2 linked regions of the Bombyx mori genome follow. The protein of the gene in region 2 purifies or fractionates together with the protein of the main gene of each other region. This does not show direct contact. Links are inferred from orthologs where the notes say so. Each region holds a gene or a part of one and is shown on either strand. Other genes may lie near its edges.

Region 1 (3,977 bases), on a different chromosome or scaffold from region 2:
AATGTCTAATGACATAACTATAACATGATTTTGATCACTCTCTCTTGACTTTATTATACATATGTATTATTAAATTTTTATTTCATTACCACGGAATGCAACACCTAAAAATTCATAATTCCTTTCAAATGAGAGGGTGTGACGATCACAATCAAGTATCACTCTTATTCTTTCACCAACCTGGAAGATATTTATTAGATTTAACCAAATCATAGAAACACAACAGTAGTCAGCTATATAATACATTACATAAATAAACCCCATTAAATCCAAAACATTCATTAATATCGTTTTACATACATCTATTCTTGGTTTACACATTAACAGTCAGAATGATACTACTTTTGTGGATATTTCTGCTGAGAAGCAGTGATGTCATAATCAGATAGATTTTTACACTGTAACTACTTAAAGCTACAGAGGTTATCTTCCATATCTATTCTAATAAAACAGAGATATGCCTTTTCACTTTAGTGTGTTCATAAATCATCATCATCATTCCTTCCTATTACCCTCTGCTGGGGTGTAGGGCTCGAATCAATTTTTTCCATTTACATCAGTCTTGGGCAGTCTGTTCTAGCTCCTCCCACGTCATGCCCAAGACCCCTAGCTCCTGCTCCTAAATATTATATTATATTGCTCCTGTTCATAAATAGTCAAAATAATTGTTTGCTGGACAAATTATATTCTATAAAATATTCTAATCTACAAGGTCACTAGTTTGAGGGTCAGGAACACAAAAGTGGCTGTTATTGCCTATTATAGTCATATCTACTTCTATTAGATATTGTTTAGTTCAAAACATAGAAAAAAAATTATGTGTAAAACTTCAATTATTTATAAAATAATAGATCATAATTTTTAGCAACATTTACTAGCAAGATAAAATCATTGGAACGATTTTTTAATAAACAGTGAGGTTATTTGCTATAATACAAAGGGAGGACAAAACCTTCAAATGAGACCCTAATAGACCCTATGCATTAACTGGTTTTTATTTCTGTTGAATTACATAGTGTATTTAATTTGAAAAATGTAATTAAATTTAAATTAATCAATAATTTGTATGCTTTAATGTTAAGGAGCTATTTTTTGTATGTTATAAATAGAATAAAAGCATTACTTGATATTTGGGGCAGTTATTTAACAATGGATAGTGTCCTTGAGTATCACCATTGTGTAATAAATGATTATCAACAAGATTCCAGCCCCAACTCAGTTCATCTGAACCAAGCAATCCTACATATCCTTGACATTGCAATGGTGCATCTCTAGTTGACACCCCTATGACAGCTACTGTGCCAAGGGGACCTTCCCATATAATTTCCCAAGCATGACGACCACGATAAAATCCAACCTTTCCTCTACAAGCATCTGTACTCTGTGCTACAGGATTTCTGAAATTAATGTATTGGACTTAGTTTCTTGAAATGACACCATTATCAAATTTTCATACATATACTCTAAAGAGCATTTAAAATTCATTACCTGTGTAAAGTAAATCCATTTGGTTTGATATAAATGTTTCTCGAACAATCATACGGATTCCAAGCATGGCAATATGCTCTAAGTTTTTCTCTATAAGTTCTGAGGCACGAAAGTAAATCAGATTTCATCATTTCTTCTGTTAATCTTCTATAACAATGATATCTCCACACTTCATTATTCTCATCACTGAGCATTCTATACCAAGTCTTACATACCAACGCACAGTTTCGAATATCTCTCAATCTTAGATACAAAAAAATAAGTTCCAAAATATGGTCAGGTATGATTTCAGCAAAAGCATATTTTTTGTATCTATGAATTTGACGCATCTTATTGTAGAAATAAGCATTTAATTTTAAATGCACAATTTTGGTAGTTATTTAATACCTTTTTAGAAAGATCTATGGTTACAGCGGGTTAGTGATTGAATTTTAATATTATTGCTTTTGATGAAATTTATTGGAAATTCTGAGTTTCAGGTTAAGTTGTTTTATTTTGTTTTGTCCACTTTGGACTTTTGTTACAAAAGGGACAGGTCTCAAACAGCCAGTCATCAAGTATGGAAAAATAATATTTAAAACGAGCTTCACAATTTCTAAACAACGCTATCGAATCAGCAGACAATATCTAAAGATTAACACTTTAATGATAACATAGTAAAACACGATTAGTTGAAAATTTGTTGTTTTTATTGTTAATATATGAATGTTCTCCTACGTACTTATCAGGCTCAGGACTGCCTGAAATGAATATTAATACTTACCAGAAAATAAGAAGATTTTATTTCATTTGGGAAGATGAATAATGGAGTAAAAACTACTTGAGCACTACTGTGACATGAAAATCGGTGTAACGAAAAAGCGACACTGAAAAAGGCAAAAAGATATGTCTAAAGGATTATTAGCCTGCGAGAGAATAACACGGAATAATTCTGAAAGTTTTACTTTTACTTCGTTTTACTGCACACATGCTCTTTAATATTAGTTAGTTATTCATATAGTTTGCGGTAGGCAGCGGCTTGGCTCTGCCCCTGGCATTGCTGAAGTCGAAGAAGTAACCACTCACCATCAGGTGGGCCGTATGCTCGTCTGCCTACAAGGGCAATAAAAAAAAAACATATTCATAGTTTCTGTAGTTAATTGTTTGTCACGTTATGATTTTTTAAATACATTAATTTCCCCACTGACCCATTAAACCCGAATTAAATGTTATATTCTGCCAATTTAGGATTTCTTCAGATTTTATAGTGGTAACTTAACACATCTTACACCAAGTCGTCATTGTCTGCCTTTAAAAAAATGTTATGAACCGCTTAGGTTTCCTACTTCAGTGGAACCGCTTAGTGGAGAAGATTTTTGAAACTTTTTTTTTAATTGATAGATGGGTCAAAGATCTCACGGCTCAATTGGTGTGGGTGGTGGTACTGACCCATGCGCACTCACAAGACGACCTACCACCAGTAACTACGCAAATTATATTTTTTCAAGTTTGATTTTTATTACGCGATGTTATTTTTTCACCATGGAAGTCAATCGTGTTTTTTTTTTAAATACATATTTCATTGGAAATTGTTTTGGAATGTCCCCACCTGTGTGTGGGATTGGATCACCAATGCATCGCTACACACGAATGCACCGGACATCTTATCCTTTAGGCCACGACGACGACATACAAATGTACACAAGTTTAGGAAAATATTTCAAGTCGTATGACCTACTTCAGGTTTTTCTAAATTCGTCATTGAAATTTGAATAAATTCCCCCCATTGCACTGTTTTCAAATCGGCATGGGCAGTTGGCGGCTCTTTGCGTGTGCGTACCAGGCTCACCATAAACCGGGAGGAGTGGCGATTGCTCACGAAACGCATAACATCTACCCACAGTAATGATGCTGAATGACGACCACGACCGCTCTGACAAGAGTGATACGACAAAAGACAAGGATATTGAAAGGTTACTTTTTCGTTAATTTCATATGATGTTATGATAACGTTACGTTAATTTCATATGATGATAAAAAATGGCGAGCTTAACTCAACAATTGAGTTTTCTACCAGCTAACCGTTCTTAACGAAGAAAAGCTTTAAATGAGTGAATTTATGTGATTATGCTCCATTTTACATTTTGTCTAACAGATACGGTTTCATTCATTTTATTTTAAATACTTATTCAATGGGCTAGGTGTCTTTTGCCACCCAGTGGAATATTGTATCAAAAAACAATCAACTATAAATTTTAGTAGACTAACACCGGTCACTCACATGCGCACGAATACGCAAACCCACAAGTGTAGGACGACATTTGCGAATGATTATGCAAAGTTTTCGCTGCATTCGTGGTTTTCCAAGCTGTATCGGTTTTTTAAGAGACATCAAAGCGCGCGAGCCTCGAACCTTCGCGTAGTCTCCCACACATTCGCTTGCCCAGTTGCGCCGACGATTGCGAAGGTAACGGACGTATACTATACGCCATTTTCATAGTTCGTGACGT
Region 2 (3,500 bases):
CCTCTTATAGCGAAGATGAAAACTCAATCAAACCAGCCAGACCTCAAGGTACACAGTTAGTTCATTCAGTGCGGAACAAAACCTAAATGTAGCTTTATATTCAAATGTCGACGAAAAACACTTCTAGTGTGTGTTGCGAGTATTGATCATGCTATTTTTTATTGCTTTGATGGGTGGACGAGCTCACGGCCACCTGGTGCTTAAGAAGTTACTGGAGCCCATAGTCATTTACAACGTAAATGCGGCCACCCACCTTGAGACATGAGTTCTAAGGTCTGCTCCACTCTTCTAACCAAAACGCATTACTGCTTCACGGCAGAAATATAACTGTCAAAACGTCCAAAATAATATATGTATTGAATATAATACAGATTATATGTTTCTTATGCTTTATGAGCAAAGATTTGGATTGGGTCACTACGCTAGTCCAAGGCGATTGATATGTCCATTTCATGTGTAAGTGTGGTTCGGTAATCGAAACTTTAATAATAGGTACTTAAATTATACTGTATTATAGGAGAATCATGTATGGAGCTCTTCCGACGTGACTGGCTGGTGCGATATTACGGTATCTTCACGTCAAGGCATGGCCGGCGCCTTAACCGACGGCAGCACGGAGACGTTCTGGGAATCAGGCGACGAAGACAGGAACAAAGCAAAGTGGATACAAATCTCTTACCCGGGAGGCTCGCACGATGATCGCCCGCACATTGTGTGCGTCCACATCGATAACACAAGGGACACTGTGGTTAGTGTCGAAATGGTTTTAAAATTTGAACATTATTATTTGAATTTCACACTGTGAGAGTTAAAAGTAGGATAGTTGATGTTCGCAATATTAAAACAAGATGCAAACAATTCGCCTAGTCTTTAGTAATAAGAAAAAAAAAAATACATGTGTGCAGTTCACACGTGGTAGAAGTGAAACCTTCCAAAATTAAAATACAATTATCCTAAACGTCTTAAGTATGTGTAAAATTTTGTCATTCGTAAATAATTGTAAGGTAGCGCCCTCTGTGAATTGATATTTTAATTTCACGTATAATCGTAAATTAAAATTCACTACAAGAGCTTTCATACACACTTTAGTATTAAAAAATCTCACAGATGGCGCTGTATTAAATAGTATGTATATTTCTGTCTCATTCTTTGCTGGCTTCATCCTACACATTTTTGTATTTGTGTCTCTTACCTGTCGTTTTTTCCGTTGCATCCAGTTTGAAATCACAACGATTCTAAAGAAGTTTTCACTTCAATTAGATTTTGTGATACATAATTTAAAAAAAAACTAACTTCAATTGTTTTCTTAACAAATTACATATTTACTTATTTTAAATTAATGATTAACTATTTACAGAACAAGACGCTGCTGATGACGTTCCTGTACAGCTCAGGATCCACTGAGTTGATCCACATGCAAGACATAGAAGTCGATCCGAAGGTCGCTACTTGGCTCTGCTATACTTTACCACGTAAGTTACGAAACCGACAAATCTTGATTAAATTATGTTGTTTTACATTGAATTTATGAACTTAACATAATGACTGTGTGAATGAACTGTCCGGGTCGTCGTTACTCCTTACGGGGCCACGGAACGAGCGAATCCCTCTGTGTGATGGTAACATGAAGCGGAGGTGGGTTGGGGGAAGGTGTTGTGTTATGAGGTGCGTGCACCGGTCACACATTCACTCATACACATCGACTGAAATATACACAATCTTTACTAATATATACATCTACAGTGGTTTTTACGGATGCTCCGTTATAACTGCTGAACCATGCAGCCAATTGACTTGAAACTTGGTATTCATGTAGAAAACATATGTACTTAATGGATAGGCTAATATTTATATGAGTGTTGGACTCCCTACACCAGTTGCGGGGGCGTTAATGATGAGAATCTTTATGGGGGTGAGAAATAATAATGTTAATTTTAAATGCCCAGCCAAGCGGACGGGTACAGTTAGTTATTCATAATATTGTGGGACTTGATTGTGGTGGAGGTGTGGTGCCCGGAGGTACCGACTGGTGTCCTCTTCTTCAAGTTTGATTGATTTGAATGAAACTACAGGTGTGTCTACCACGTCGCTGCGCGTTCGATGCGAGCTCCGCGGTCCCGAAGCGGCGGTTCGAATCCGCCAGGTCCGGGTCCTGAGCGCGCCGACGCTCCTCCATTCAGCCGCCGTGACAGCGCCGCAAGTGTTGCACGGACTCTGCGAAACGGACACCCTGCGAGTTTTCCGCTTGTTGACTTCTCAGGTAAGACTTGGGCATTCAAATCTGTATTTAAATTGTCATCGTTTTCGTTCGACGTGCAACAACCTAGTCCATAGACACAATACACTGAGTTGCTCGCTGGATTTTTTAGTGGGTCGCGATTCCGATCCGGTGGTAAATTCTGCGAAGTACTATTCTTTCTGAGGTAATTGTTAGCAAGTTCTCTTAGGCTGATTTCGTTAGCTTACCTACGAAAAGCATGCGTAGCTGAAATAGCCCCTCGAGGATACCAGCGATTAAGTAGAGTTTTTTTGAAGTGAAACTTCTAATGTGACTTCCAACAAAGTTGCGTTAAACGTTGAACGCTACCATGGAATAGAAAGAGACAGAGCGAGAGCGAATGAGCGGCACTCGAACGCATGCGCCTAATATACCTATTACAGGCCATCACGAGCGTTAGCAACGAGTAGCGACTAATATTTTAATGAAGTATTAAAAAAAAAATGTATTTACTTTTCTATCTATAATTAAATATATATAACATCAATGTTGGAAAATGTCCCATCTCTTATACGCAGTGTTCCCTATTACAAAAGTAATTTGATTTAACGATGAAAAATGAACAAAAATACAATACTACATATCGAAAAAGAAGTTTCACTTCATTCGCGTGTACTAAGTTGCACGCGCACTGTTTTTTTTTTGTTTTCACGTCATCTGTATGTTACTTTTAAATGTCTATTCGAAATATCTCGTAACGATTACTCGCTCGGTAGGTGTTCGGGAAGCTCTTGGAATGGGAGCAGTCTAGCGACGCGAGCGCCGAAGCCGCGGTAGCAATCGACGATGGAGTTGCCAACGACGACAGCGATCTCAGAGAGCACGTTGTTGGCATCCTATTCGCTGGACACAAACTTACATCTCTGCAACGACAAGTACGTATCTAAAAAACCTTAACATATTTCATGGTATCGAAAATATTCAATACTTTTCTCGATAAACTCTTACACTATCTGTACTTAGAATAAGTAGAACCTTTACCATAGTATTTACAATTATGGACTTACTGATTAAGAACCAACAAATCTCTTTCCCCTATTGTTGTTTCGGGTTTTGGGTTTTACTATTGGAACTCAAATTACTCCGATGATTTTATTTTATTAAGTCGTCGTGGCCTAAAGGATAAGACGTCCGGTGCATTCGTGTTGAGCGATGCACCGGTGTTCGAATCCCGCAGGCGGGTACCAATTTTTCTAATGAAATACGTACTTAACAAATGTTT

The links. Proteins that work in one complex are often made in the same cells at the same time.
Region 1: the proteins of E3 ubiquitin-protein ligase MYCBP2 (region 2) and F-box/SPRY domain-containing protein 1 purify together in Homo sapiens (affinity purification with western blotting; 7 studies listed by BioGRID and IntAct, with this or other methods). This does not show direct contact. The link is inferred for Bombyx mori from reciprocal best matches to the Homo sapiens genes MYCBP2 and FBXO45.

The regions. Positions count from the first base shown.
Region 1 is NC_085110.1:9,215,670-9,219,646, forward strand, and holds the start of F-box/SPRY domain-containing protein 1, read right to left. Parts: upstream 2,801-3,977; 5' UTR 1,818-2,800; coding exon 1,489-1,817; intron 1,398-1,488; coding exon 1,124-1,397; intron 181-1,123; coding exon 90-180; intron 1-89. UniProt on the Homo sapiens protein: Component of E3 ubiquitin ligase complex consisting of FBXO45, MYCBP2 and SKP1. Functions in substrate recognition but also plays an important role in assembly of the complex.
Region 2 is NC_085107.1:16,483,987-16,487,486, forward strand, and holds part of E3 ubiquitin-protein ligase MYCBP2, read left to right. Parts: intron 1-517; coding exon 518-748; intron 749-1,357; coding exon 1,358-1,472; intron 1,473-2,072; coding exon 2,073-2,260; intron 2,261-2,994; coding exon 2,995-3,153; intron 3,154-3,500. UniProt on the Homo sapiens protein: Atypical E3 ubiquitin-protein ligase which specifically mediates ubiquitination of threonine and serine residues on target proteins, instead of ubiquitinating lysine residues.